2 linked regions of the Notamacropus eugenii genome follow. The protein of the gene in region 2 binds, or shares a complex with, the protein of the main gene of each other region. Links are inferred from orthologs where the notes say so. Each region holds a gene or a part of one and is shown on either strand. Other genes may lie near its edges. The genes, in order: BMF and RPS6KA3.

Region 1 (15,828 bases), on a different chromosome or scaffold from region 2:
TCTACATTATATCCTTTAATACAGAATCAGTCTGAGATACCTCTCCCTGCCCAGGCAACGCTCCAAAATGTTTGCCAGGGGAGGAAGAGTTAAGTGTTCTGGCTGGGCAGACCGGCTCATAAAGGCCCAGCGCAGGGGGGCAGCCCAGGGCCCTCCACAGCTCCTCCTGCACGAGCCAGCCGGCCGCCACAGCCTTTGTTGACTAACTCTGCCACATGCTTAGCTGACACGCGATGCTCTGCTGTGGTGGTGCCAGGGCTGGGCTGCTGGGCTGCCACTGGGCACCCCAAGCCCCAGGCCAGGAGGGATTCTCAGAGGTACTATTTTCTCCTGAGTCCTTTGGCCCTGGTTCCCAGACAGAGACATCAGATCAGGCAGCCTCCCCAGCTGGAAAGTGTCAAATTACAACCGGTTCCACAGCCTCCCATGCTGGAGCCCCACTGCCTGCGTTAACCTTCCCTCTGCTGTACTTCCTCTGAATGCATGAGCAGGCGGTGGGGACTGAGCATCCACTCCAATCCACAGGGGTGACACTACTGGGTCGAGGAGATGGAGAGGTGGCAATTGTGACCAAGGTGCTGTTCAGCCCTTTTGTAGCTCCCACCTCACTATAACCCCTTCAATAGCTCCTGTCTCCGCATCATGGTGAACCTCTTCCTCTCTAGGGTTCAAGATGCTCCTCCCAACGGAGCCCAACCATTGCCCAGAAACTGCGCACTCCCAAGTCAAGGAAGAGTCCCAGGGTCTGACTGAAGGATGCCCAAGTCTGGATGAGAATTTTGAATGAGAGAAAGGCAGCAGAGGATTCTTATGGTCCTGGCATCTGTTGAAGCTCAGCTTCCATTGGCTGATACCTACCCGCTGCATATGGAGTCTGTGGAACTGGTCTGCTATGCGTTGAAGTTTTCGGGCAATCTGAACCTCAGTTCGATGCTCCCACTGTTCTTCAGGGGGCTCCTCTCCAAGCCTCAGGCTTGCAGGAAAATTGGCTGGGAGGGGAAGTCGGTATCCAGCATTGCCTGCGAAGATAGCAGGAGAGAGAAGGTCCACATGAGCCAGCATTTGACACAATAGCCAGAGTCCTTCCTGGGGGCCTCAACCACAAATGCCTAGCAAGATCCACCGGTATATAGTAAGCATCAGCTCCAAGTGCAAATCTGGAAGGATCTCATTGACCATGTGGTCCAACCCTCTCATTTTACAGATGGGGAAACTGAGGCTCAAGAAAGGTAAATGATTTGCCCAAGGTCACACAGGGATCAAGCACCAGAGGTCATATTTTAACTCAGATCCTCTGACTCTTGAGCTAGTGTTCTTTCCACTGGACATGCTGGAGGCTGGATCAAAATTCAAGGAGCACAAATTTCACCTTTGGCATGACTCTATAGTAGGTGGTGTCTCTCATCTATTTGCCCAAGTTAATTAACTAAGAATTTATGCAAGGAGAATAGATGTGCTCACTAAGTGCTATGTTGTATTGTAGGAGAAGAAATAAGGGAAATAAAGCTCAATATCTGCCGTGACACACAAATAATGATGACACAGACTAGAACATGATAAGAGTACAAGAAAGATAAAAACATTACTTTAAGAGTTGAGAAGAGGGAAATGATCACACCTGGTTGAGAGGTGGGAAGGGAGAGAGGGGGAGAGAGGAGGAGAGAGAGAAAGAGAGAGAGAGAAAGAGAGAGAGAAAGAATGAGGAGGAACTTCCTATAGAGGTGGTACCTGAACTAAGCCTTAAAGGATGGAGAAGAATAAGGTTGGGCATTCTAAGTATACAGAGCACTGTGAACAAAGACACTGAGGCAGGAAAATACAAAGAGTCCAATTTCGACAGAACACAGAGTAAATGATGGAACGGGGTATAAAATTAGGCTAGAAGGTCAGAAGGAGCAGACTGGTAACAAATCTGAGAGTTATTTGTAAGGCTGGATATCACCATAATGAAGTACTCATTTCACTCCAGGATGAAGCCCCTCTCCAGAAGGAATTTTTAAGGTCTCCAGGATTTTTGGTTCCAATAGACTGAGGAAAAGGTCAAAAGGTGCAACTGCAGAGTATGATCTTCCCTGGAACCTCCCCAGCAAGCTTCAGGCAATACCAAGAAGAGAGTGCCTCCAGCCACAGGGAAAACAAGGTCCTTCTGCAGGCAGCCTTGGCTGGGCCTTCTGGGATGCCCTCTGAATGTAGACTATCAGCATCCTTCAAATCAGAGATGTTCCACTCCCTCCCCTCCTTTTCTAATCACTCAGGCCAACTCTGTACAGAATTACTTTGGCTTATCACTGAAAGGCAGTTCCTTTAGAAAGAAATGCAATCTTCACAGGTCTTGTGCCTCATCCTATACACATAAGATAACTTCAGAACCTCTTTAAGCTAAAAAAATGGGCTTAATGCCTAACCTTACTCCTTATGCCTGGCCCTCATGCCCCTTAAATATAGGTAATGGGAATGGGATCTGCCCGGATTTAAGCCACCCTGTTCCTGAGGAACAGCCTTTATCTCAGCATGAAGCCAAACCCCGCCAGGACTTGGCAATTTTCTCCTGCTCTCCTTCCAACCACAAGTAGTCTTCAGTAAAAGCTGGGAGCCAAGCTTGGCCCCTAGGAACATTCTCTTCTAGAGGGAACTGCAGTGTAGCAACAAACCAAGTGATAAATGCCGGAGGGAGTGGGGAAGCACTTTTACATCTTCCCCCCCTTCCTTACTACCACAGGTCACTGATAACTAAGCAAGGGCTTTGCTCTAGCTCTCCTCCCAGACAGAATGCCCACACCAAACTAAGAAGGCTTGGTCGTTTTCTTCCCCCAGAGGCCCCTCCTGGGTGTACAGAGGCAGGGAGAGACACAACTACAGCTAAGACTGAGTTGTCCCCACTCTACAAAGGAAAAAAGCCTACCATACCCACTGGGCAGCGTAACAGATAATCTGAGTCTTAAAAGGGACTTTAGAATACAGAAAAAAGAGAATGTTCCTGTTGGAAAAGAACTTAAAAGTCACCTACTACAATCCCCTCTTGTACCAGAATAGGGGTATTTTCAGAATAGTGAGAGCATACTTGCTCTAAATTCCCATAGCACTGAACTTGTACCTAGTAGGTGCTTTGCACCTAGTAGTGCCTTGCACCTAATACTTGCTCAGTTATTTGATGATGGAATAAATGAATGGTAAATGATGCGCACGGCAATTTAGCTTCATGAAGACTGGCAAGTGATCCAGCAAGAAACAGAAAGAAGTGAAGGCTCAGAAGGGAGAAAAGAGAGGACTCAAGACCCCTGTGGCCCTCTGCCATACCTTTATTAGAAGGGATAGTTTTACCTCTACTTTGAACTCAGGAGAGAAGGATCAGGAGGGAAAAGGCTGTCAAACTCACCATAAAAAAGTCGGTGGGGTTCTTCAGTCACTCCACAAGGCAGCATGACACCCTGGCTTGGGGATGCTGGACTGAGGGTCTGAGTGGCCTTGTCTTCCTGGCCAACTGACCGAAGCCCTGGGCCGCAGCAATGGGTGAGAGGGAAAAGCTGCAGCCCATCCAGCATATAGTCAGGCTGACTCTGGGCAAACAGAGCAGCTGAGGTCAGGCCCCCTGGCTGAGCACCAGGCTCTGAGTCCTCCGGGTGGAACACCTCGTCCTCCAGCTCGTCTACATAACGAGGAGGCTCCATCTCTCCTGCAAAAGAAAGGCGGTCAAGTCTGGGGTGCCACTCCTCACCCCCCTTGGATGATTCATGCCCCTGCTCTCCATGCTCTACCCTAGCCAATGGAAGATAAGGTCAGGGACTGCTGACATACAGTCTTGGCACAGGAAACCTATAAATGAAGACAAAAAAATCCCCCTCAAACTACCTGGAAAAAGCCCAACACACCTGGTCCCTCTAGTAGGCTGCCCACAGCCTCCTCTACCCTTGGCTTCTTTTCCTGAACAGGCCTGTCTGTGGAGTTCAGACCGTGAGTGCTCTTGGCAAGGGCTATTTTGGCTGCTATGAGACTTGCTTACAGAGTCTAGGTGCTGCTATGGGGTATTTAGGAAATGGTAAACAATGAAAGCAGTGGGAGGGAAAAAAGGGACCCAAGTCATTCACCTGCTCCAGGAGTGCAAGGTCACCCAAACAGGCTCCAGACACAGTGTTCTCTACAAGTGAGAAAAAAGCATAATCCCCGCCCTAGGGAGCTCACTACCACACTCAGGCAGAGCTAAACTCCTGGCTGAGCAACCACCACTACAACAAAAGCCAACAATAACCTCGAAGCCGTGCTTCCAGCTCCAGAACCTGCTCAAGTCCCTCCCAGCCGACTAACTTTCCCCTATGCCCCGCCCCCACTTGCTCAACACTCACCAATAGACACTGGAGGGTGGTTTGGTAGTGGTGAGATTCCTGGGAGGGCCTAAGTCACAACAAGATGCTCTGAATCTGGAGAGTGGCTGAACTGAGCTCTCAGCTCTCCAGAAGTCCACAAGAAGGATGAGCTTATCATCTAGAAGCTTTTAGAACCTGCTCCTTGCAAGCTCCCAATCCCCTACCTCAAAGGGTTCCCATGCCTGTCCCTAGCTGAACCTGGGAGCTGTGTATCCTGCCTCCTAGGAGGAAGTAAAACTCAGCCTCATGTCTCTGGCATCACCTATACCGTCTGGGTAGCATCTCTTGCTTTAGCAGACAGACAGCTTAGAGAAGAAGTCCTGGGGTGACCCACTTCCCAACTCCCACAGTTCATAACTACTACACCGCGTATTCAGTGACTGCAGTGCCACAGTGTGTCTTAGCTTTGCTAGTGCCCAAAAGCAGAAGTCACCTATACTCTCCAATGGCCTTTCTTCAACGGAGTGCCATGCCACAAAGCTGGACAAAGATAGTATCAGAAACAAAACTCGGGACTCCTGTCTCCCAGGTTACTTCTTGCCTTCAAGCACAATCCAAACTGAACTGTGTTTTTCTGAAGCATCTGAATAGATCACATCTAAATTTGGAGAGCTTGAGTATCAAATACTTCTGCCTTCATCAAATCTATTACTCCCCTCTCCCAGTTATTGGAGTTGTTAATGAAAAGGGCCATAGGGCACATATAGATGACCTACCTACCTACACACACACACACACACACACACACACACACTCACACAGACTCCATCTCTCTATCCATATCTATCTATCTATCTATCTATCTATCTATCTATCTATCTATCTATCTATCTTTCCCCTATGGACCAGGATGCAAACTTTCTAACTGAACTGACCTGAGGCTGCTCTACCAGAGTTAAGTGGTGGTTACCTGTTGCCCAGAAGAATGACAGCCTTTATCTCATAACAGTAACCCCAAAGAGGGTTCCCTTTAAAACAGCTGGGATCCCACAAACACAGGCAAAAGACAGAGACTCTTTCTCCTCCAAAGCTTGTCAGCTTTTACCCTCCAGGCAAAGCCCCAGTTCTAAATTGACTGGGTTGGGTGAGTGGGGGAGGTGTAGCCTGAGTGGGTTGGATCAGCAATCCTGAGAGACCCTTTCCATTCTCTACTGTAGGAAGTACATAACCCCACTCCCCCTACCTGACCTGACTTTCCCTAGTGATTCAGCTCCAGCCTCCTCTGCCAGTACAGGCTAGTCCAGAAAAGTTGTGGTACACTGACTGGGGGAGGGGTGAAAGATGAGGCAAGTGGTCCCTGAAAAAACTTTGGAATAAGTGATGGAAGAGATCCCCATGGAACTGAGGATGTGGGACACTAAGCCAGAGGGCTCCGCTTCCCCAGGAAGACACTGCCAGGTAAGCCGTTACTCCAAAGTGAAATCCACTCTTCTGGACCTGCTCAAACCTTTTCCAACTGTGACAGTGACTTCCAAAAGTTGGGCTTGGCCCCAGAGGGCACAGACAGAAACTAGGCAGCTGAAGTCCCTGGCGCTGCCAGAAACCAGGGGTCATGTGTACACTACAGACCCGGGTCCACAGTACAAGATAACTCCAGGAAAGAGCCTCAGCTCTAGCGCTATGATGCCAGGGTTCAGAGCCAAAGCCCAGTGATGAGCGCGCGGGGCTCCGTGCCCAGACCGGGATGGGAAAGAGGTAAAGGAAGCCAAGCTGGAAAGGAGCAGTCAGACCCCTTGGAAGGCAGTGCACCCCAAAACTCTTCGCCACCATCCCTACTTTGGAGCAGAAATGTAAAAAAAGAGCTAAGGCACCCCACACCCCAAAGTCCCACAGTCACTGCACCCCCAAGCTTCCCTGGTCATTGCAATCTGAGCCCTTGTTCTGCCAACGACCCCCTGGGGCAGAGGACACCCCAAGATCCTTCCAGCGAGCCCCGCGCTCACACCTCACCCCTCGCGGGTCAGCCCTGTAACTCCTCCTCCCTCCGCCCTGCACTGCCCCCAAGCACTGGCCACCCCTCCAAGCCTTCCCTGCCGCGGGGCACGGACCCCCACGGGTGCGCTCTGCCCCCGCCACGGGGCACTCACTGCAGCCCGCTCCCCGCCACGCGGCGCCGTCTGCCCCTCGTGGGGCGCCGCACCCCGCTCGGCCGGTCAGCCCCCCAGCCCCGGGGGCTTACCTGGCGACGGGGCGCAGGCGGCCGGCGCGCGCAGGGAGGCCAGCCTCCGCCGCCGCCCGCGCGGTATTGTTTCCAAAATACCCCCGCTCGCTGGCATCCCGCAAACAGCTGACGAAGCCCCGCCCCTCGGCGACGACCTGACCAATGGCGAACGAAGCTCCGAGTCCAGGGCTGGGCAGCAGGCAGGGACAATCGCGAATGTGTGAACCTTCCAGGAGATGCGCGGCAAGGGCGCAGGGCAAAATTCTGAGCCGCCACAGAAGCGAAAGGTTGGCTTCCCAGCCCGGGCGAAGGCTGTGCCACCCCTTCTGTGGGAATCCAGAAAACAGAAAGCAGGCCCAGAAAGTCTTCCTAGGAGACCTAGGGTTTTTCGTGATCGCACTAAATAATTACCTGGGGGGGAGGGGAGGGGACGATATCTTCAATTTTTGCATCCCCTGCAATAGTGAGTGGCATCCCAGCTTCCTGTTGACAAGTGGATGTTGGCAAGCTCCTGGCTCTGTGCCCCCATGACCCAATCCATTATCAAGTCCTCCGGTCCTAACGCAGCGTCTACACCTGAGCCAAGGGCTGTGACTTTACAACCTGAAAACGTCACAGAGTGGAGAACCTTATCGGTCCGCGTAATGGTTGGAAGTTACCGCCTAAGTTTCATATTTTGTACTCCAAAGGAAAAAAGGATGGGAGGAGGAGGAGGAGGAGACCTTCCTCCAGCTCCTAGTTTGGAATCCTGGTGCCTTGACTGTGCCTAGTAAACTGCAAAATAAAAATCTCCTGAGGGAAGGATCCTCCCTGTTATACCCGGGCTGCTTGGGCAAGTGTCTTACCTGACCGGCAAGTGAAGATATGGCGGGTAAATGTCACATTTCCACGGGGCAGTGGGAAGGGTTGCTGACTATTCGTCTGACTTCTTAATCCATGGGTTGCAGATTTAGCCAGACGGTGAGTTTGGTGCCCTTGGGACAACTGCTTGCACTAGCTGCTCCTGAAGTGCGTGGTAACTATTTGCCCTGGATGGGCATGGGATAGTGTGGTTAAACATCTCCCTTACTTCATTTTTTACCTGAATCCATCCATTTCCATGCCCTTGCCCATCCTTTGGAAGAACTTTGTTATTCCTGGGAACTCTCCTGCCCATCTTGCCTGGAACTCCTACCTTCACTGATGAATCATGGCTCACCAGCACTCCTCACTCCCAAAGAACTTTTGACCTACAGTCTCATCAAAATTTGTAATATCACACATAGCGGCAATTCTCAACTGTAGTAATGGAAAGAGGAGGATTTGGAGTTGGGGGATGTGGATTCAAATCATCTCAGGTAGGACAATCAGAGCTTTGCCACAAGTTGTCAAAATGATGGAGCTGGACAAGATGACCAACTCTAAGTCAATGATCCTGTGAAGGGGAGACTACAATTCCTTTTTTACCCTTTACCAATCTAGTATAGTATGATGGGAAGAACACTGGTGATGAAAGTAAGAGGATCCTGGGTTCAAATCCTTCCTTTGATGCTTGCTCACAATACGGCCTTGGGCAAATTACTTAACTCTCCTGAGCATCTGTTCCTTATCTGTAAAATGAGAGGTTTGGACTAGATGGCTCCAGAGGTCTCATCCTACTAGATCTCCTATCCTATGATCTGCCCTACCCTGATTAGAAAGGGGTACCCTCTCTCTAATGGAGGCAACAAGTCAATTGTCCTTAAGGATTTGTCAGGCCCAGACTCTGGGACCCTGCTTGGTAGACTGGGAGGGATTTTAACTTTCATGTGGGAAGATGGTGTCCGCAAAAGGCTTGAAGAAAATGCCAAGACATCCACCTTGTCTTTCCTAAGGATTGATGTCTGTCCTGGCAATAATAACAGCTCATACATATTCATTTTCCAAAGAACTGGCCTCACAATGAAGAAGTGAAATGGGTAACATGAGTATGACTAGTCCCATTTTACAGATGAAGAAGATGAGGCTCACAGAGCAAGATTCACCACAAAGTTCTATTACTTTTTCTCAGTTTAATGCAACAAGTACTTACCATGCCCTTCCACATCCCAGACATTGTGCTAAGTGCTGAGGATAAAAAGACAAAAACAAGATGCGGAGGCAGCATTGGATAGTGGATCAAGATTCAGCCTTGGAGTCAGAAAGACCTGAATTCAAATCCTAAAAGTGAAACTGTGTGACCCTGAGCAAATCATTTAACTTTTTATACCTCATGTGACCATTTACAAAATCTGTTGGACCTTACTTAGTAAAAGGTTCTCAGGAGGTGTAAACAGATAGGATCTGAGGTCAGGATCAACTCTAAGGAGAAGAGGAGAGTCCAGGGAGGGGCCTACACAACCACTGAGAGGGTAGGAGGGGAGGCAAGCTCCTGGAAGCCGTAAGGCAAAGCATTCTTTTCTCCACACTAGGAAAGGGATGTTGTTGCTTGGTCATTTTCAGTGATAACCCCATTTGGGGTTTTCTTGGCAAACATACTGGAGTGGTTTGCCATTTCCTTCTCTAGCTCCTTTTACAGATGAGGAAACTGAGTCCACTGTGTCATTTAGCTGCCCCCCAGAAATGGGTACCAGAGTTGAATTACAGCTATCTGATCCCCCCTCTCAATATTGCTGATCTAAAAGTACAATCTAGGGGTTCAAAACAAAAGCCTCTTCCCTGATCACCATAGCTTAGTTTACATTTGCTATTTTAACTCTTTCCCACTAAAGACTAGTTAGATAAAAGACCACCATAAATAGAGAATAAGCAGACAAGAAGCAGAAATTAGAGAAATTATGCACCCTAAAATATACCAGAAAATATACAAGAGTGAATGAACTCTTTACTGGGAATAAATGAGATCTCAGGGCAAATCAAGACAGAGGAGACACAGGTCAGTCTCAGATGAGAGAGTGAGTTCAGAGTCCTGACTACATGATGGGGCTTGTCCAGGATAGCACAGAGTATGAGAAGAGATACTCCTGACCTCTAGAAGCCTGAGTGGGAGATGTAGCCAGCCTTACTCTGGGAGAGTAAGTTCAAAGTTATCACTACATATGTTATTTCAGAGCAGGTGTTTATCTGCCTTGGTAGAAGGAAATCCTCATTTGGAGATCTCTATGCCTTTGAATTTGAGCAAACAGATGGCACAGTGGATAGAGTGCTAGACCTGGAGTCAAGAAGACCTGAATTCAAATCTGAACTCTGACACTTACTAGCTGTGTGGGCCTAGGCAAGTCACTTACCACTGTTTACCTCCGTTTCTTCATCTGTAAAATGAGCTGGAGAAGGAAATGGCAAACCACTCTAGTATCTTTGCTAAGAAAAGCCCAAATGGGGTCACAAAGAGTCTGAAACAACTGAACACACCCCCTTGAATTCACAGATCTGGTTAAAAAAAAATAAGGTCCCACGTACATATGTAACAAGGATCATGGGAGTGAGAGACTAGAAATGTCTGGTTTGCTGGACTGGGCATATTCCAAAGCACATGTCCCTCAGCACTCATCTAGTCCTTACTCTGATGCTTTATCACTCAACTAGTGGTTTTTGAGAGTCCCTGGGACAATATACAAGTCTGGAGTGGGGAAAAACGAACTGGGTCTGAGCTTACATTGTACAAGGAGTCAGCAACATATGCACAGATCAGTCAGTAAAAATACGTACAAAGTGATTTTAATGTGTTGGGAAGTGTGGGATTCTAAACTTGGGGACCAAAGAAAAATACAGACTCTTCTCAGAGGTAGAGCTTGTGCTGAAATTTGGAAGGATGGAGGGAAATTGGATCTCCAAGACTTAGAGATGAGTGGGAAGACCTTTAAGTATGAGGAGAAACATTTGTAAAAGCACAAATGTCGGTGAGAAAATATTGTATATAAAGAGCATTAAGTAAGCCCGTCTTGACCTGAAGGATTAATATGAAATCAGCCTGCAAAAATAGGTTGGAGTCCAACTGTAAAGGGCTTTATATCCAGAGGCATGTGTTCTTTGTCCTAGAGACAATAGGGAGTCATTAAAGCTTCTTGAGCAGGGGAGTTACAGGTCTAGACCTGTGCTATAAGAATACTTATTGGGCAGTTCTGTGGAAGTTGAATTAGAGAGGGTAGAGACTGGAAGTTAGAGGCAATTGCAACTGTCCAGGTCAATGAGAGAGAATTTCAGATGATATACTATACTTAAGGTACTTCACAGCATTAAGAGTCTAATATTCTATGTTTCAGGGACAAAACTGCTAACTCAGATCCACCTTTAGGGCAAGGGGTCCTTAACCTGGGGTCTGTGATCTTGTTTTGTTTTAATATTTTGAAAACTGTCTTTCAATAATATTAATTTCCTTTGTAATACTATGTATTTTACTTTACACATTTAAAAATATTATTCCGAGAAGAGAGTCATAGGCTTCACTAGATTGGCAGAAGGGTCCATGAGACATACACACACAAAAGGTTAAAAACTCCTGCTAAAGGACAATAATAGGAAATGGTGACATTGAATGACATCCAAAGTCATTGTTGAATGTTTTCCATTCTACCCTCCCACACTGACTTTTTGTCTTCCTTTTTTCCTTTCTCCTTTGCTCTTTTGCTTTCTTTAAGATCATAGGATTTAGGGGCAGCCAGGTGATGCAGTACCGAGAACACTGACCCTGGTGTCAGGAGAACCTGAGTTCAAATTTGGTCTTAGATACTTACTAGCTTTGTGACCCTGGGCAAGTCATTTTACCCTGGTTGCCTTTAAAAAAAATCATATGATTTAGAACTACGACCATAGAAATCATCGATCCTAGTTCTTTCATTTTATAGATGGTTAACAAACATTTAAGAAGTACCTACTATGTGCTAGGCACATAGCTAGTCCAATAAAGTGATGTGACTTGCCTAAGATCATACAGGCAGCAAATACCATAACCAGGCTTTTAACCCAGGTGCTCTGACTTCAAATCACAAAAGATTTCCACTAAAATCAGGCTTTCTTCCTTACACTTTTCTTTGCCTCTCCTGCCTGTTAATGGTACTATGTGGTACTGTTCAGTTGTGACCAACTCTTGTCACACCATGGACGATAGCACATCAGTACTGTCCATGGGGTCTTGGCAAATGGCTTGCCATTTTCTTCTCCAGTAGATTAAGGCAAAGAGAAAGTAAGTGACTTGCCCAGTGTCACACAGCTAGTGAGTATTTGAAGCTGGATTTGAACTCGGGTCTTCCTGACTTCAGTCCCAGCATTCTATGCACTGAGTCACCTAGCTGCCTTGATGGCATTCCTAGGAATTGCTTAATCCAGTTAATAATGCTCAAAACTAAAACATTTCCTACTGATAGCTTTAGAGAAAACGGAATATGGAAAGTGGCTTCTAGAAGGCAAGTCCAGAGCAGTTAAGAGTGACAGAGAAAACTCCAGGGAGTCCAAGGTGGTCATTTTACCCAGCTTCCTTGGCCCCTGATCTATTGATAGGTATCTTTCAGATTTTTAGAGTGAAATTAGACCTGCAAAGCAAGGCAAAATGTTGGAGTTCTCCACATGGATCTGGGACAGAGCTGTAACTAGGTCTTTGTCTCTTGTCACTGACATTGGAGGGACACCCTTCCTCCCTGGGTCTGTCTTTAGGCCGACATCTCTATGTGGTCCAACAGCACTTCACCACTTGGTACCATCCAAGGGTACTACAACCAGAATTCCTAGTTAGAGCTCCAGATGCAGGATGCCTGTGGGGTAGGGACAAACCAAATTATGTTCACATTTCTGCCAAGATATTCCCCCCTAAACACACCTCTTCCCCAGGCCACTCCTGACAGTCCATTTCTAGAGAACAGCCCTTACCCTGGGGAAGGTTGCTTGGCCTTGTCTCTTTTCAGATGTTCAGCCTCTATGAGAATCAGTACAAAGAGGGTCTGCCCTTCAGTCAGAAGTATTTGAGCAAAGACTCTCCAGGAGCAGGGTCTGGAATCGCCCCTCCCTCACAAGAGCCAACATCACCCAAATATGTTTTCTGGAGGTTGGACATACTCTCCATTGCAGGGATCCAGGCAGAGCCAGCTGTGCTTAGGACCCTGCTGGATTAGAAGGGTCGGGTGTTACTCTTCCCCGACTGACAGAAGCCCCCTAGTAACAGATGTGCTCAGAGCTTTTGACTGGGTTTAGGAGGAAAGGCACGCTTGCTACAACAGCAGCAACAACCAGTGATTGGAGAGAATCTCCTGATGGGCCCTTCCCTCTTCCCCCGGTCTACCTCTCAATTTGTTTTGGGGTTTTTTTCCTTCCTAAGAGAAGTTGGCTTTTCAGGGTAGGGTCGCCTCACACACCTCCCTCCTTCCAAAAGGCAAACCTGCTCTCTCACTGTGGCCTCCTCTCCAGAGGCCCGGGAGGGGGATACAAAGAGTTAAGCTCCCTCTACTTTGTGAAATCCCTAAACTAGGATTGGGGGAAATGAGCCAGGAGCCTTTACCATTGTTTCACCTGGCTATAGGGTTTCTCTCTAACACAAGGAATCGGCTTTAAAACCCCAGTAACTGGATCTCACCAGGAAAGGAGGTTTTTAAAAACCAGCTGACAGCTGAATAATAGGAATTACCAGGCAGGCCGCCCTGGGGTTACTGAGGTTTGTAACTCAACCTCAAGGGAGGGCTTAGATTGGAAACTGATTTATGAGAAAATCAGAAGTCACAGAGGGAGAGTCTTGAGTATCTGGATAAGTAGCCTTCAGAGTCACTGGGGCAATATACTAGTCTGGTAGAAAGAGCTAGATTCCAAAAGACAATTCCCTCTTTGGCCTCTGGCTTTCTATGTGACCTTATGAAGTTGCTTGTAACCTCTCAGGGGCCTCAGTGGAGCTATCTGTAAAGTGGGCAGAATAGCACCCTCCTTTTGATTTTCAGAACCAGTGTCTATGTTAATGGGTCTACCAGAAGAGACACACTGGAAAGGACAGAGACTCAGGAGTCAGAAGATATGAGTTCAAATTTCCCCTTTAACTTTTACTTGCTGTGTGATCTTGAGCAACTAACTTGTTTCTCCTTGCGGAAGAATTGTCAGTGCTTTCTAAATGCTGTTGCCCTGGACCACCACCCCATGGCTCCACCCTAGTTACTGCCCTGAAGAAGACTACCCCACTTACCAATCCATGAGATGGATAGGATTTAATTGAGGAATGGGAGGTGAGAAGAGGTTTAAAAAGGGAATTTGGAAGATTAATCTCCTGGAATAAAGAGGAGTCTGGAGGAACATAAACTATCAGGCAAAATGTTGGCTTTGATCAAAGTCCTAAAATGGGGTGACTTGGGCTTTATCCTAAGACACCCAAATAAAGTTTATTATTCATTAAAATAGGAAGCTACTAAAAAACCTCCAGTGGCTTCATGGTACCCCAGAGCATCTTCCCACTGAAACCAGGATCCCTGTCCCTAGGTCTCTGTGTCCCCTATATAAGGCATTTTCTCTACCCGAGGAGCCTTGTGTCCTGAGGTCAGAGGTCAGGGACTTTCCCAGTGTTTTCTTCCTCTCTCCACACCCCTCTCCTATTGACTGCTCACCTCTGGCTGTTTTTATGATACTTTGCCTTGGGTACCAGAATGCTTACTATTGGCTTTTCATCAGAAACAGAAAGTTTTCGTGCTACATAGATTAAACACCACGTTATATATAAGGTATTGTTTGAGGGATGCCTATATTTATTGATTGAATGAATGAATAAATGAATGAATGAATGAATGGATCCACATTAACAAATGCACATTTGTTCTATATTGGGCAATAGGAATGGGAGGAGAAAGGGAATTCTCAACAAAGTAAGGCCTGTTTACAAAATTTATTGAAGAAATATCCCTGTTTACATCTTCTAAATATTCTTCCCGATGGTTGGAAACACTCACCCTTGCAGAGATCCAGGCAGACCTAGCTGTGATCAGAATTCTGCTTTAAGAGGTTGGGGCAGGGGGCCTGATTTTTGTACAATCTTAAAGTCAGATAATCTCTTTCTTAAGGGTAGATTCTATATATTATACTTTTAAAAGATCCACACCAAAAGCCTAGCATATTGCTTGGCATATGGTGTAGTAGGTGATAGAGCAATAGATATAGATATAAATACCTGATATCTGTGTAGCTTCAGCATCTCTCTCCCTCTCCCTCAATAGATAGATAGACAGACAGATAGATAGACAATATATGTATAGATATATAATATATGTGTATGTGTGTGTATATATATGTATGCATTATTTATAGCTCTTGAGATCTTCATTACTGAAAACATCTTTTCCATTCCCCTACCCAACAAGTCATTCCCTGTAAGAAAGACTTTTAAAAGGGAAGGGAAAAAAGTAGTTCAGTAAAACTAACTGCATCTGACAATATGGGCAACTGGCCAGTCGGGCAATACAGCTCTTCTTTCTTCCTTCCTCTATCTCTTCCTTTCTTTTTCTTTCTTCCTTCCTTCCTTCTTTCCTTCTTTTCTTTCTTTCTTTTTTTCTTTCTCTCTTTCTCTCTTTCTTTTTTCCTTTCCTGTGGGTGCTCTGTAGAAAGGAATATAAATTTTGATGACTAAAACATTGCTAGATATCTTGGGGTTTACCAGCTAGATTTCTTTCTTAAGGGACCATGCTATAAACCCAAATCACTCTGGCTCTCATTGATTGGCCAACAATACATCCCAGGCCTTTGGACCCTGATAATCTCAGAGTGAATGCAATTACTCCTGTTTTGGCCCAAAACCCTGAGGGTCTTTCCTTCTCTTGATTTTTTTTTTTTGGACTGGGTAAAAGAGGGCATTTTTTGCCTCCTTTCTTACCTAGCCTTGATCACTGAATGGGCACTGCCTCAATCAAACTGAGACTTGTAAAGACCTCAGCTTAAAGAGGCCAAGGTCTTCTACTACATCCAAGGCCATCTTTAGTCATCTTGATCTGTATCTCACCACTGGACCCAGATGGCTCTAGAGGAAAAAGTGAGGCTGGTGACTGCACAGCCCTTCCTCCCTTAAATCCAATGTCATGGCATCACCCCCATGATGTCATGGTCCCCTTGGAGAACAAAGGATGAATAGCAGCAAGGCAGCTTAGACCCTCATCTCTACAGGGAAGGGAGGGAGGGATATTTTCTTGTTTCTTCTATAAGAAAGGTCAAGTTTCTTGGTTGATACAATTATGCAGTGTTCAATTTCTTTTTTTCTCTTTTCATCTACTCAATAAATATTTTTTGGATAAGTAAATGAATTAATCTGAAGTAATAAAAATAAATGAGAAGACTTGGGAGAGTCCATTCTAGGACTGTCCTCCCAACTCACATTATCTCTGATAAAACACAAAGGAA
Region 2 (15,508 bases):
TCATATTACCTACCACAAATTCTGGGGAGGGGGATATAATTCACTTTTCCTCAGGTATTCCAAAACAGTATTGAGAATCTGATCCAGAACAGACTCAGCCCTAGTTAGTTCCTTCATCTTTTGAAGGATTAAATTATCACCAAGGCACTGTGCTAAGCCATGAGGACACAAAGACAGTCCCTGTCATCAAGGAGTTCAGTCTCATGAAGAAAACAACAGACAAAAAACCATGCATAGAGAAGATGCACACAAGATAAACTGAGGGCTGATTCAGAGGGAAGGCACTAAGATTAATGAGGACTGGGAAAAGCTTCTTGCAGTTGGTGAAGCAGAGGCCTGAAGAAGCTGAAAAAATCAGGAGGGGGGAATGGGGGACAGCCAATGAAAATGTAGAATCAGGAGAGGAGAGAGCAAGGATGCCATCATCCCTGGAATGCAGAGTGTGTGGTGGGGGAAGGTGTAAGGTAAAAGAAGACTGGAAAGGTAGAAAGGGGCCAGGTTATAAGGACTTTAAATTTGATCCTTGAGGTAATAGGGAGACACAGAAATGGGAGGGAAGGGGAGGTTACATATGGAAAGGTTTACACCTATAATTTAGGAAGATCACTTTGATACTTGAATGGAGAATGAACTAGAGTGGGAAGAGATGAGGCAGGATATCAACCAGACGGCTACTGCAATAGTCCAGGCATGAAGTGATGAGGTTATACACCAGCATGGTGGTGGTGTCGGAGGAGAGAAAGGGAATATATGTTGAGAGATGTCATAAAGTTCAAATGGACAGAACTTGGCAACAGATTGTTTGGGGCAGGGAGAGGGGTGAGAGAGTAAGGAACTACATTTAACACCTAAGTTTTAAACCTGGGTGATTGGGAAAATGGTGGCACCCTTGATAGCAACAAGGAAAGGTTTTTGGGGGAAAAGATGAGTTCACTTTTGGACATATTGAGTTTAAGAATTCTACAGGATATCCAGTTTGAGATGTCCAATAGTTAGTTGGACATGAAAGACTAGAGTTAAGAAGAAAAAGGTTAGGGCTGGACAATTATATGTGAGAGTTACTTTTATAGAGATAATAACTGAATCCATGGAAGCTGATGAGATCACCAAATGAAACAGCATATTAAGAGAACAGAACCCAGGACAAAGTCTTAGGGAATAAATATTTAGTTAGTGGGGGCAACCTAGATGAAGATCCCGAAAGTGTGACTGAGAAGGAGCAAGCAGACAAGTAGGAGAGCCAGGAAAGAGTGATGTCACAAAAAGCTACAGAGAAGAGAATATCAATAAGAAGATGGTGACTGACAGTATCTTAGACTGCAGAGATGTCAAGGATGAGGACTGAGGCCATTATATTTGGCAATCAAGAGAACACTGGTAACTCTGGAGACAACAGTTTCAGTTAAATGATAAAGTTGGAATCCAGAATGTAGAGTTAAGAGAGTGAGAGAAAAGAAAGCGGAGGCATGCATGGTAGGTAGTTTTCTCAAGAAATTTAACCATGAAACGAGGGAGAGATATAAGGTAACAGTTACAAAGGATGGACAGATCATCTACTTTGGAGAATGAGGGATACACCGATATTTTTGTACATAGCATGGAAGCAATCAGTAGAAAAGGAGAGAGTAGAGATGAAAGAGAGAGCAACCTGCTGGAAAAGGCAGGGTTAAAAGGAATCTCTTGTGCTATGGCAAGGAGAAGAACCACCTCTTTTTTTGAGATAGAGTGGACAAGATTTCTGAAAGATATGAGATTGGAAGGGAAAAAGAGGGAGCTTACTGAATGGCCTCAATTTTTTCAGTGAAATATGAGGCAAGGTTCTCAACTGAGAAGACAAGGGGAAGGAGAGCCATCAGAGGACTGAGAAGACATAGGAAGGTTTTGAAAAGGTGCTGTGATGAATGTGAGAGTGAATAAATTAGGGAGGCATAAAAGGATTGTCATGCTGCAGTAAGGACTCAACTGAGATTATATAACCTAAATCAGTAGTGGATTCAGTCAACATGGTTTAATGATTTTCTCTTAATTGAGTGAAGAAGTGCTTCATTCAGCAACACATAAGTAGGAGTGAAGGTAGATGATGAGGGTAAGAAAGACTGAGTTTCAGCATGGTAATATTGGGAAGAGAATAAGAGGGCAGGACATCTGAGAGAAGAAAAAGTCAAAAAGGGGTATGAGAAGTATGTAAACAGTATAGGAGTGACGGCCTGGGAAAGAATTGAGGATTAGTGAGATTGGAAGTCAAGGGTAAAGACAAACGGCAGGGTTAGGCACTGTAAGGCACAGGGAAAGATGAAAGAAGTACAAATTATTTGCATTGAATTGTAGACAAGTATGGAAACTATAAACCACAATTTTAATTTTAAACGATTTTACAAAATTATTTCAAACAATTAAAAAAAAGCAAATATGTCAACAGACAACCTCAAACATTTTCTACAGAAAATGAAAACTTCATATTTATAATCTGTTGTGTAGTCTTGGACAAATCTCTTCAACTCTTCAGAGCTTAGCTTTCTCACATGTAAAATAAAGGGGTACCCACCAGGGGTTCCCACCTGGAGGACACAAAACTTGTCAAGGGTAAATAGTTAATATTTGGTATTTTTTCCTAATACTCTAAAAGTAGTAGTGGCTTCTGAAAGCATTTGAGTTTAGAGAGAACTGCAGGGAAGGAAAAGGGCTGATAAAGAAACGGGCATTAATCCACATATCTGAAAAATTTGAGATAGCTGAAGGAATAATTCCTACTGACCAAAACCACATAAATGAGATTTGGAAAACAAATCAGTGACAACCAATGAAAGATGAGCCATTAATCTCCACAATAAGCAGAAACTCAAAATTTCTAATGAACTAAGTTACAAAATTTTTGCTATACTTCTAGAGAAACACATACTATTCTTGTTTACAGACTCTAATTCTTTTTTTAAATTTTTTTTAAATCACAGCTCATTTCTATGAATCAGTATCCTTGATCCTGTTCTTAATCAAATCCAAAGGAAGAAGCGAACTGAAAACTGAACTTGATTGTGTGGGTTATCTTTTTCAAAAACTAAATGGGAGAGGGGCAGGGGGAGAGAGGGGGAGAGAGGGGGGGAAGAGGGGGGGAGAGGGGGAGAGAGGGGGAGAGAGGGGGAGAGAGGGGGAGAGAGGGGGAGAGAGCGGGAGAGAGCGGGAGAGAGCGGGAGAGAGCGGGAGAGAGCGGGAGAGAGCGGGAGAGAGCGGGAGAGAGCGGGAGAGAGCGGGAGAGAGCGGGAGAGAGCGAGCACGCACGTGCAAGCACCTGTGATTTCATTATAGGAAGTTCTTGGTTGGGAATTTCCTCTACCAATTAAGTTGAACCTTCTCTGCAACTCAAGAGTCTCAGTTGCCTACGGTCACAGAGAGGGTCCAGGGTCACACTAACAGTATACCTCATAAGCAAGATTTAAACTCATGTCTTCCTGACTTCAAGGCCATTTCTCTATACCACTTTACACTACACTACCTCTTCAAAAACTACACCCAGAAGTGGTTGATGAAAAAACAGAATCAAAGACCTCGCTGGACTACTCTAATATATAACTTTATGATACTAAAAAGTTCTGTTCCTAATACAATTCTTTTTGTGAAAATTATTTTTTTTCACATCATAGCTTTTGTGAATATGCATGGTAAACTTTAAAATGTATATCCTTTCATATTAAACAAGGAGTATGGGTAGGTTTTCCAAAAAGCAAAGAGATATGGAGACCAAAAATTGCTGGAAAGATAGTGAGGTCCTCCAGATCTTCCTGTTTGTAAAACAACATGTGCTGACTGCATTAAGCCCCAGGTCATCATACAGCCTCTCCTCAATGAGAGCCAAAATAATTCAAAACTGTCATGACCAACAATGCATACAGGAAAAATGAAATCGATGAAAACTGGTTACAAGTTTACTTGGAAGATCAGTTCTTTGAGTTAGCACATCAGCGCACATATCTGAGACAAGCACTGCAGATGGCCGATAAGCTTGGCCCAGAACTGAACAGGATGAGATTGGATAACATATTCTCCATATGATGTATTTCCTCAACTTCCAAAAAATCATTACCTTCCCAAATTCATTATTCTTCCTAAACTTCCCTATTTCTGTTTAGGGAACTACCATCCTTCAAATTACTCAGGTTTACAAGAAGTTATCCTCAACTTTTTTTTCTGTTAGTAATCAAATCCAATCAGCTGCCAAGGTTTGTTTAACTCTCCTCCAGGTCCTGTTCTTGAATTCTAGATTTTAAAACCCTGCCTCTACTGCTGCCTCATCCAGATACTTCTCTGGGCTATTTTCCTTGGAACATCCAAAAACCACAGGGCCTTTCTTGAAGGCTTGTTCCATTCTCCCACTGGTGACTTCCTACTAAGGCCTCCATTTTGTACAGTGGCCCAGGTAAACCTTCATTCCCCTCCTGAAACAACTGCAAACTTTAGGACTTCAAACTCCAGCCTTCACCTTTTAGTTCCCTTTTGTTCCCAGTTAGTTCACAAATAGAACATAAGCTCCCTGGGGGAAAGGGCTGTCTTTCTTTTTGCTTGTATTTGTATTCTCAGCGATTAGCACAGTGCCAGATACATAGTAAGCACTTCATACTTGTTTTCTTTTTTCCTTCTACCTCTTCATTTTACGTTTATCTCCTCCACACTCACAAAGCCACCACTAAAGCTCAGGCCCTCATCTCCTCTTTCCTGGACTACAAAAACGGTCCTTTCTACCTGGTCCTGCTACTGTAACCTCAGCTGCCAAACTGGTATTCTTGAAACATATTTGCTTAAAGAAACTCCAGTAGATCTTCTTTCTCCTAGGATAAAGTATAAACTCCTTTGTTATTTAAAGCCCTTTATGGTTCAAGCCTACCTTTCCAAATTAAGTTCAGGTGTCACCTTTTGGAACACATTTTATATTTCATTTTCTGAGTTGACATGGTTTCACCCAATAGGACATTAAGTTCCTGGAGGATAGTGTTCATTCACTTCATTTTTGCCTTTGCATACCCAGTGCCTAGTAGGTGCTAAATAAATGTTTGTTGTTTGTTTGCTATGGCAAAGGATATGTTACTGGAGAGGTATACAGTGGCTGCAAAGAGACTGCAATATACTTCCAATGATGATCTAAGTGCTAAGGGATATTAAGGAGGAATGCATCTATCAAGGGAAAATAGGTATTGAAAACGAAGCATAACAAATGGATAGCCTGAGTGCTGTACTGGTACCTATGAAAGGTAAAAAGACTTAGAGAGAGGGTTCTAGCACACTGGAGAGCTCTCCTGTTTACAGATCTGCTTATGGAAGAATAAGAGATGTATCCCTTAAACATACTAAGTTCATTTCATATAATAATCCAACGAACTGCCATGTCTAATCACTCTAAACCGCTTTGGAAATGATTTTTTTCCAGTATGTTACTTATTCCTATTTTCTACTCAGTAATGTTAAATAGAACTTCCTTCATGTTCCCAAGTGTGAGTCATGAAAGAAAGCTTTAACAATGAACATATTTTGTCTCCAGCCCAAATACCCCTGGGTGTCCTAGGTAGGAATTAACATATGCGGGACTAAATAATAAATCCTTTCTCCTGGTTTAAAAAAAAAGGTAGCATTTTGTTGCTGCAGCTTCACTGTAAAATGGCTTTACGTGGTCCAATCAACATTTGTTAAACATGGAGTGCAGTACTGGAGAGGTGTGTGTGTGTGTCTGCGTGTGTGCATGTATGTGTCTGTGTGTGTGCACGTGTGTGCGTTAAAAACAAATAAAAAGCTTGGTACCATTTGCTCTTTTACTCTCTAACATGGATGCAGAAGGTACAAGAAGCTGATGGAAATCCTTGCACCTGACCTTGGAGACTCCAAATCTGTATCAGAATAAATATGCTTGAAAATTATGGAATCTTCAGGTGAAAACAAATAAAAAAAACCTAATGGCAAATGAAGCATTTGATTTTTGTCATAAAGAAAGCCATCATATTTTAATAATAAGAGCTGATGTTTAGCTGATATATAGTGGTTTATGGTTACAAACTGTGAGTTAGATAAAATAGTTTATGGTGCACATTTTTTAAATGAGGAAACTCAAGTTTAAAGAGGGCAAGTGGCCTGAAGTTGTAGGTGTTGGATTCAAAACCTGCACTATATATCAGACCCTAATCCAAACAGTGGATGGTTGATCTAGTTTTTAACTTGGGAGAATTTATGGGGTCAAACGTTGAAAACCCAACCTCTCATATTTAAAGGTCATGTAAAAGTTTCAAAGACAAAAATCTTTTAAAGCGATAGAGCATGACCCTACGTGCCTGGTTTTTAGAAAACATGGCAATAACTGAAATAAGCCAACTGACTTAACATTTCAACTAATTTTCATATAAATCTTTCATGAAAACAGGCAAAATTTCTGCATTTCTGAAGAATTCCCAATCTTTACCAGACATAAGATAAAAATGTCATTAACATATATTTGGAACTTCTAAATGAAGATTTTACAAGTGAGACTGTCATATCTAGATCATACATGGATTGAATTAGTTATATCTTTCATAATACTTGTTAAGGGACAAATCACCTTAAATTTTATATCCTTAAGTGATCGTATATTTTTTAAACATTGGCAAAATCACTGATACTTGATAAATTCTATTTAAGATTAGCTTTCTAGGCTGATGGAACAATGTTCTCTTTTCAAAAGTAGCTTTTAAATGAGATTTTTAAAAAATACGATTCAAGTCAAAAAACTGACCCCAAATCAGTATTATTGGAACTTAGAAGATCTGCTTGTGAACAAGCAAGCGTGCAAAGAACATTTCATGGCGGTGGAAGTAACTGGGGGGCTGGGGGAAACTCCTGAAATGACGTTAGCCCCTCTCCCCTTTCCCCTCCCTGAGGCGGAGAACACAAAGGTCCCATTCGGGAATACATTCAAGCACGGTCACCCTGACGTAAACTGTAACCCAACACGTCCCCCGGACTGCGGAGACCGGCACGGCCGAAGCCCGGCTACGCCGGCACACCACTCCAGCCCGCACTCAGTCACGCTTTCTAGAAATGGGGCCAGTCAGCAACTACTACACAGGCACCATCCCGTAAAGTCCCCAAGTCAGCAGGGCGGAGAAGAGCCCAGCGAAGCGGCAGAAGCCGAGGGGGTGCCCAGCGATGCCCCGCCGGCCGGAACTCCGAACGACTCGCCGCTGCCGCAGAGTGGATCCCGGGACAGCGACGGCAGCGGGAGAAACCTCAGGACTGAGCTCCGGACAAGGACACGCACACGGACACGGACCACAAAGTGCACGCGCAGGGACACGGGGCGACGGGCACCGGGCCCGGGGTGGGACACCACAAAGCGCTTCCCGAGCCGCGATTTCTCCCCCCACATTCTTATCTCCCCCTCGGCCCGGCCCTCTCCCCACCCAAAGCGACAGGAAACTCGTGAAGCTCCGAGGGCCAGGGAACTCCAGGTCAAAGATCCGAGACACGGACGCGTGGGGGTGGGGGCGGGGAAGCGCAGCAGGGGAGAAGAGACCTGAAGAGTCAACTTTCTCCGTGGCAGCGCGAGCCCCGCGGGGCCCGAAGCCGAGGGGCAGCCCTACGAGTCCCACGCGGCCACCCACGAGCCCGAGGGTCCGAGCGGCTCCGCGCGCCCAGCGGCACATCCACACGCGAAGTGGGTTTTACAGCGCAGCCCCCCCAGCCCCAGCCCGCACAGACCCCACAAACACACCCAGCCCGTCCTCGCAGGAGTGAGGAAGTGGGGAGGGGGAGGAATGAACACACACCGCACAACACACACACCCACAAACAAGTAACCAACCCGGAATCTCGGACGAGGGAGGAAGGAAGAGCCGCTCTGCGGGCACTCGGGGGCGGGCGCCCAGGAGGAGGGAAGGGAAGGGGCCGGGGACCCCGGGGCAGCCCCCCACTCACTTCGGCGCTGTCGCTCGCGTTCTCCACAGCCATCTTCTGCCACGGGTCCGCCAGCTGCGCCAGCGGCATCTTCCCCCCGGCCCCGTCTCCTCCTCCTCCTCTCCCGCCTCCTCCTTCTCGGGGAATCCTGCTCCTCCGCCTGAGCCCCACAGCCCCGGCGCGCGGCGGCCGCGGGACCCCGGGGGAGGCACGGGGGCCGACACCCCCCAAGCGCCGCGCTCTGCCGGCGAGGCGCCCGCACGGGCGGGCGGCGAGACGGGGGCCGCGGCCGCCGTCCGCGGGGCTCTCGCCCTCCTCTTCTTCTCCTCCTCCGCCTCCTTCTAGCGCGGCCGCCGCCGCCGCCGCCTGCGCTCCTCCTCCCGGCCCCGCTCCCTCTCCCTGCGCCGCCGCCGCCGCTCGCTCCCCCACTTCCGCTCACAACATGGCGCCTAAACGATACCTGTCCCTCAGAGCGAGGCTCGGGCCGCCGTGCGCAGCCCCCTCAGGGGGCGGGGCCTCGAGGGCCCCGCCCTTCGGCCCCGCCTCCTCTCCCGGCCCCCTCCCCCACCCCTCCCCCTGCTTTCTCCTCTTGGCCTCTCCCAACCCTAGGGCGGGGTGAGACTAAGGAAACCAAGTGGGTGTTGCGCGAGTGGGATGGATGGGGAAAGGAGGAAGGGGCAAATGCTTCCAAACCGGAAGGTGTGGGAGCCCGGGAAACCCTCTTACTGTAAGAGCTGGGTGTAGCGTACGGGAGGATGACATTATCCCGGGGATTTTGGTCACCCCTCTGGGGTGGGAGAAAATCCCAGGGTAGTTTTGTCACTCGGGCACTTTTGTCCGTCTGTCTCCCCGCAGGCCGGCGTCTGGCAGAAGAGGCTCTGGACGGACGGGCCAGCCCTGTGCCGGTGACCTTGACCCGCAGGATAAGAAAAACCTCTGGCTAGGTTTTTCATGATCATAAAGCGAGCCGTCACTGTGCCTACGTGTACACAGCATGGGAGAATAAGAGCATCCCAGGCTCTGCTCAGTTCCGTAGCCGAGCATCTGCCTCGGCATAAGGCCTCGGATAAGGATGGTTCGGGGGTCCTTTGAGGTACTAGCTTTTCTAGGTTCTAATTCGAACCTCGTTTCTTTTACAAAATTTAGTCTCCCCAAAGGGAAATCTCCGAAATTTGGATTCCAGATAGCCAGCAGGAACCCTTGTGGTCCCCCGAAAGGACTCAGGTTTCAGTCCCCGTCTCTATCTCCCCCATCGCATCCTCCCCAACCCGACATTCCTCCAATATTGTGCAGCCCAGGGCTTACTACTGTGGCCGGCGTTACAGAAGAGTGATATATCTTCCACGAAGGCGGAAAGCACGAGATGAATTGATCCTGCCACTCTCCAAAGAAGTCAGGATAGGGAGTTATTAAAAATACGTTGTAGGCAGGAAGAGCGGGGTTCCTATCATTCCGCTGATTTAAAATAAAAGATGAGATTAGAAAGTAGGTCTGGTTGGGGGCGGAGTAAGTGGGAGTGAGAGAGATACTGGAGAGGACAGAGAGGGTCTGACTCCCCCTTCTGCCATAAAGAGGAAGGACCACTCTATACACATCGAATGCTACTAGGATTTTTCTCTTTCAAGAGCATTAAAAATTTTTTAAAAATCAGAAATGCCAGAGTTGGAAAAGACTGGGGAGTCATATCATATCTAAATGAGTACATGACTGCCTAGTTCACTCCGGGTTATAGGAACTTTCAAAGCACTCCCTCAGAAAGGTAACTCTGTACAATGAAAAGCAACAGAAGTTACTAAGTATCCTTTAAGGAGGAAAAAAAGTATCATCCGACAAGTTACTGTTGCACCCTCCATCTGCTTATTTCTCTGGTGCCATTGTTTTCCAAGCATCACCTCGGTTCCTTTCTTCCCAACCAAAACTCCTTCTCGGTCCCCACCCACGCACTATGCCAGAAGCCATTTCACATAATAGATTAACTCTTTGTCGACTTGTGTGTGTGTGTGTGTGTGTGTGGGGGGGGGGGGGGTTGAGTTCCCTTTCCTTTAACACAAAAGAATCAATCTGTTTTCTGGCATCGAGTACCTGACAAGCTTATAGCTTCCTTTCTAAAGCAGGTGAGAATTATTACAGTTTGCTAACAGGTGTCAAGCATTACCAGCGTGGTTTCAGAATCTAGATTTCATTAGAAGAGAGGCACCACTTTCAGTGTTACTAGGGAAAACTCCTAAGTGGTTAGTCCCGAGGATGTAAAGAAAACTAGTACCCGGGGTTCTTCATGAACGGCCAATTTTTTCCCTCCCTCCCTCTTAACCGGTACTAGGTGTTTAATCTTCTTTCCATTCTCTCTAGCACCCTTCTCCAACTTCGTTAGCCCTCAGCTCACGCAATAACTACGTGGTCACAACTGCAGAAGCGAGATAAGCAAGCCCTTTGGCCATCAACTGTAACTGACCAGACTGCAAGCTAGCCACTTTTTGGAAGCTTTAAAAGTTTTCTATTTGTCATTCCCCTTACAACCATGCAAGATTGTCTATCAGGTTAGATAGTCGCCTATACCTGCATTTTTCCTTAATATCTAATAGATATATTAGTACAAGTGCTTTTGTGTATATCAGTACCATCTTCCTCCCTTATCCTTCTCTTTCTGTTCCATCCCTACTGGACTGGAGAGTTGGGACGGTGTAGAGGTGTATGATAAATAGAGGTGCTGGACGTGGAACCAGGAAAACTTGGGATAGAAGCCTGCCTCAGACACTTATTAGCTTTATGATGCTGGACAAGCCACTTAACTTCTTTGGGTCTCAGTTTCTTTATCTGCAAAATGAAGCGGAGGAGTGGACTCTGTGCCCTCTAAGGTCCCTTCTGACCCTATGATCCTTGAATTTCTTATGCTGAGCCCAGCTTTCCCATATAGTTTCCAGAGACTAACCAGCTCTCCTTGCACCCACCAAAAAAAAAAAAAATAAGGTGAAAGGTGGGACAGAAAAATATTGGATATAATATCTGGTAGGAAAGGCAGCATAGTATAGTGTGTATAGAAAACCCACCTCAGGCAAAGTGAGGAAGATTTGGGTTTAAGTATCACTTCTGACACATACTGGCTAGGTCATCCTGTGCAACTCACTTATCCTCTCAGTTCTTCCAGGCATTTTTCTGACTATATATTGCAGGACAGTTGTTCTTCTGTATTAGTAGGGATAGATTCCTCACTGAAATCTCCTCTCTACACCCACCACATCACAGGTGTGGTTTCCCCTCCCTCCCAATCTGTTCATATTTTGTGTCCTTGGGCAACTTATTCTACTTTTGTAGGTCTGTTTCCTCAGATGTAAAAAGAAAACTACTGGACCAGATGCTCTCTAAGGCTACTCTGAGTTCTATGTTTTTCTGATGCTATAATGACACTGAATTGTAGAATAAATGAATTAAAAATACCTGTTTGAATTTATCTGTTGTAGTAAATCATCTTTATGTGTGACAAGTCATGTGGAAGTTTGAGGACAAAGAGACTGAAGTTGCATGCTACTATTTTGCATTTAAGTATAAAGTTTGTATGTGTGTGGGTGTGCGTGTGTGTGTGTCCTCCGAGCATACTGTAAAACATTACTATCCTGTATAACAAGTGGATAGGGCTATCTTGTGGCTTCATGACAACTGGCAAATTAATAGCAAACCTGTGACTAATGCTCCAAGTCTCTATCCTTGGTTGACTACAGTAGTATTACATGGGTAATAAAACTGATGTGTATATAACATTATGAACATTAGCTTCTTAAAAATAGAATTCTAAATAGAATTTCAAACTTTTATTAATTTATTTTGCCGTGAAAAATGTTAGAACATTTTTAACAAAAATTAATTGATAAGTTTGTATGAGACCAAATGGATGAGTCAGTTCTTGTACCTAACATTAAACATTAAATAAGTTGCTAATAATAACTTGGTACTTGCGCACTCAATAAATATGTGTTAGCCTGATTTTCTTCATATATAAAGAAAGGTTAGATTAGAGGGCTGAATCACCTCTAAGGTCTGATCCTACCTTCACATTCTGTGATTTACAAAAATAAAATTCTCTTTCTGCCTGAAGGCAATGACATAGTTCTTATTGACAGGAGTAAAATATTTGTTCATCTGAATTTTAGAGCAACACAGATTATGATCAAATGAGATAATATGTAAAGTGTTTTGTAAACTTTAAAACACTAAATGTTAACTCATTACTGCTCCTTCTTTAGATGGGTAAATTTAAGCAAGTAAAATGTAATGACTGGGAGAAATTTCTGTGGAGGGTCATCAAAAAGAGCTGTTATTTTAAATTTTGCCTAAGACAGGGTTAAGTTTTACTGATTGGTAGAAAATGACTCTGAATGTAGTACTGACAAAGAAAAACTGACAAAGAATGCTTCTACTCCTTTCACTGAATGAAACACACTACACACTTTTGCAGTATAATGACCTCACGCTCCACTAGTCTTCTGGTCTTCGTTTTTCAGGTTCTTGGTTTTCAAAGTGAAAATAAGGACTGAATCGATTGCTTCAACACTCCTCCCTCCCTTCCCTTTAACGCTGCCCCATACTAGTTCTCTACTCTCAGTTCCTCCCACCTACTCATGCATAATATTGGAAAGTTATTGCTTGAAATTGCAGCTTAGGATAACTGCAAATATCTCTAGAAATTATGGAATAGGTTTCCAAGAAATCATTCCCAATGCATGACAGCACAACCAGACTTAACCTCCTTCACCCCCACTAGTTTCCTGCTATAATTATAACCTTTGTACGTAGTTTAAATGTGCATTTATTTAACATTGTTCAAAAGTAGAATTACGTCAGTCTGGACAAGTTCAAGATGACTAACTATGGCTCATAGCTCAATCTCTACTTCATATAAATCCAAATTCACAACTTAACAATGTACAGATTTGTCACAATTTAGAATGTTAAGAAAGAATCATCACATCTCTTAAAAATTTTCTATTCCTTTACATTATCTGAAGCATCTTTTATTTTTCACAAAAGCAAACTGTACTTACTGGTAACTGTTCCTAGGAAAAAGGGAAAAAAGATTTCATAGTATCAGATTTAGAACTGGAAGAGACCTTAGAGGTCAGCAAGTCCAACCCCCTCATTTTACAGATGAAGAAACTGAGGTACACAGAGGTTAACTGACTTGCTCAGGGTTGAATGAAGGAATTCAAATCCAAGTCTTCCAGATGCCAGATGCAACACATTTAACTACTGTATTAGAAACAGATCATTAGTGAAGTAGATAGAATACTGAACCTGGAGTCAAGAAGACCTGGCTTCAAATCCAGTTCACAATGACTAGCTGTGTCATCTTGGGCAATTCACTTAACTACTCCCTGCTTTAGTTCCCTCATTGGTAAAGGGGAACAATAACACCTACCTCTCAGGGTTGTTGTAAGGATGTAGTGAGATAACAATAAGCATTTTACTAAGCTTAAAATTCTAAATAAATATTACCTATTATTATTATATCACCCTACTTGAATTTCATCCCAAATTTATAAATACATATTAATTAACTTAATAAAATGAATGGAAATATAAATTTTAATTTTTCCTTTGAACCTCTCCAACATTGCTTAGGAAAGAAAATAGTAAAATATACACTTTGACTATTATTTGAGAGTTTTAAAACATTTTTTATTTGAAAGGGTAAAGTTTACATTTATTATCATCCTGTCTGTATTTTATTTCAGATGCTCTATAAAAATCCACACTTTTTCAGAAAGAAATGAAAATTGAAGGGAAAATGACCTTCTTTCAAGTCTTTTTTGAACTCTAAAAGTATATGATTCCATGTGGTGGAGCTTGGAAGAATATCAATAAGATCTATTTAAGAAAAACTAAGTGTAATAGTGAATTTAGGAGGCTCTATTTACATTGGGAATGCTTCCTTTTGAATTGGTCAGAAATCTCAAAACTCTGTGTTTAAAATGGAATTCAAGAACTTTTTCCAGTGGAACCAAGATGGTGAAGTAGAAGGACAGACCTGCTGTAGCTGTCCCCCCGAAGCCCATAAAATACCTGTAAAAGTGACTCTAAACAAATTCTAGAGCAGCAGAAGCCACAAAGTGACAGAGTGAAAGAGATTTCCAGCCCAAGGCAACCTGGAAGGCCCACAGGAAAAGTCTGTCACACCAAGCTCAGAACTGAGTGCAGCCCATGGAGCACAGCCCAGCCTTGGCAACATGGCATGGCATGGACAGGACCAGATCCGGGTGTGGAATCCCAGGTAGCAGCTGGGGTTTCCAGATTCCTCAACCCACAAATGCCAGAGACAGCTTCAAAGGTCAGTGAGAAAGCTCTTTCACCTGGGTGAGAAGGGAGGAGGGTCCTGCCCTAGCCCTGGCCCCAGGTGGCTGCAGCCTCCATTTTTGAAGTCCTTGGTCAAAAGACCCTAGGGGAATCAAGCAGCTGATCTGAATCTCAGCCCTGAGTGGCAGTCCTGGGGTGAGAAGGAGTACTGGCATGGTGGAGTTGGAGGTGGTTGCGGAGAGTGAACCCTACTTGCAGATCCTGGGCAGAAAAGCTTGTGGTTGCACCCAGACCAGAGCACAGATCAGGAGAGGAGTAAACTCCTCTGCAGTGATTATGCCACCTCAGAGGAACTGAGAACTTACAGGTCCCTAGAGTATACCCTCCACTTGACAAAGGATTCAAAAGTCAATAACTGCATGGGCAAATGCCCTCAAATGGGGGGAAAAATAAGACTATAGAAGGCTACTTTCTTGGTGAACAGGTATTTTCTTCCATCCTTTCAGATGAGGAAAAACAAAGCATACCATTAGAGGAAGACATCAAAGTCAAGGCTTCTTCATTCAAAACCTCCAAAATAAATATGAAATGGTCTCAGGCCTTGGAAGAGCTCAAAAAGGATTCTGAAAATCAAGTAAGAGAGGTGGAGGAAAAATTGGGAAGAGAAATGAGAGTGATGCAAGAAAATAATGAAAAGCAAGTCAACTGCTTGCTAAAGGAGACCCAAAAAATGCTGAAGAAAATAACACCTTTAAAAATAGACTAACCCAAATGGCAAAAGAGGTCCAAAAAGCCAATGAGGAGAAGAATGCTTTAAAAAGCAGAATTAGCCAAATGGAAAAGGAGCTTCCAAAGCTCACTGAAGAAAAGAGTTCTTTAAAAATTAGAATGGAGCAGATGGAAACTAATGACTTTATGAGAAACCAAGAAATTACAAAACAAAACCACAAGAATGAAAAAATTGAAGACAATGTGAAATATCTCATTGGAAAAACAACTGACCTGGAAAATAGATCCAGGAGAGACAATTTAAAAATTATGGAAATACTTGAAAGCCATGATCAAAAAAAGATCTTAGACATTGTCTTTCATGAAATTATCAAGGAAAATTGCCCTGATAGTCTAGAATCAAAGGATAAAATAAGTATTGAAAGAATCCACTGATCACCTCCTGAAAGAGATCTGAAAAGAAAACCTCCTAGGAATATTGTAGCCAGATTCCAGAATTCCTAGCTCAAAGAGAAAATATTGCAAGCAGCCAGAAAGAAACAATTTGAGTATTGAGGAAATACTATCAGGATAACACAAGACCTAG

The links.
Region 1: the proteins of RPS6KA3 (region 2) and BMF are in contact, whole or in part, in a crystal structure (PDB 8R58), measured with the Homo sapiens proteins. The link is inferred for Notamacropus eugenii from reciprocal best matches to the Homo sapiens genes RPS6KA3 and BMF. Residues at the interface, in NP_004577.1 of Homo sapiens: Trp252, Phe259, Phe268, Leu281, Ala283, Lys284, Leu285, Gly286, Met287, Pro288, Leu299, Arg300, Phe303, Lys304, Arg305, Asn306, Asn309; in NP_001003940.1 of Homo sapiens: Glu8, Leu10, Glu11, Asp12, Asp13, Val14, Phe15, Gln16, Pro17.

What each region holds. Positions count from the first base shown.
Region 1 is NC_092878.1:25,991,692-26,007,519, forward strand, and holds the start of BMF (bcl-2-modifying factor), read right to left. Parts: upstream 6,639-15,828; 5' UTR 6,638-6,638; coding exon 6,541-6,637; intron 6,329-6,540; exon of another isoform or gene 4,086-6,328; intron 4,077-4,085; exon of another isoform or gene 3,870-4,076; intron 3,674-3,869; coding exon 3,377-3,673; intron 1,020-3,376; coding exon 859-1,019; intron 1-858. UniProt on the Homo sapiens protein: May play a role in apoptosis. Isoform 1 seems to be the main initiator.
Region 2 is NC_092876.1:457,656,338-457,671,845, reverse strand, and holds the start of RPS6KA3 (ribosomal protein S6 kinase alpha-3), read right to left. Parts: upstream 8,268-15,508; 5' UTR 7,999-8,267; coding exon 7,930-7,998; intron 1-7,929. UniProt on the Homo sapiens protein: Serine/threonine-protein kinase that acts downstream of ERK (MAPK1/ERK2 and MAPK3/ERK1) signaling and mediates mitogenic and stress-induced activation of the transcription factors CREB1, ETV1/ER81 and NR4A1/NUR77, regulates translation through RPS6 and EIF4B phosphorylation, and mediates cellular proliferation, survival, and differentiation by modulating mTOR signaling and repressing pro-apoptotic function of BAD and DAPK1.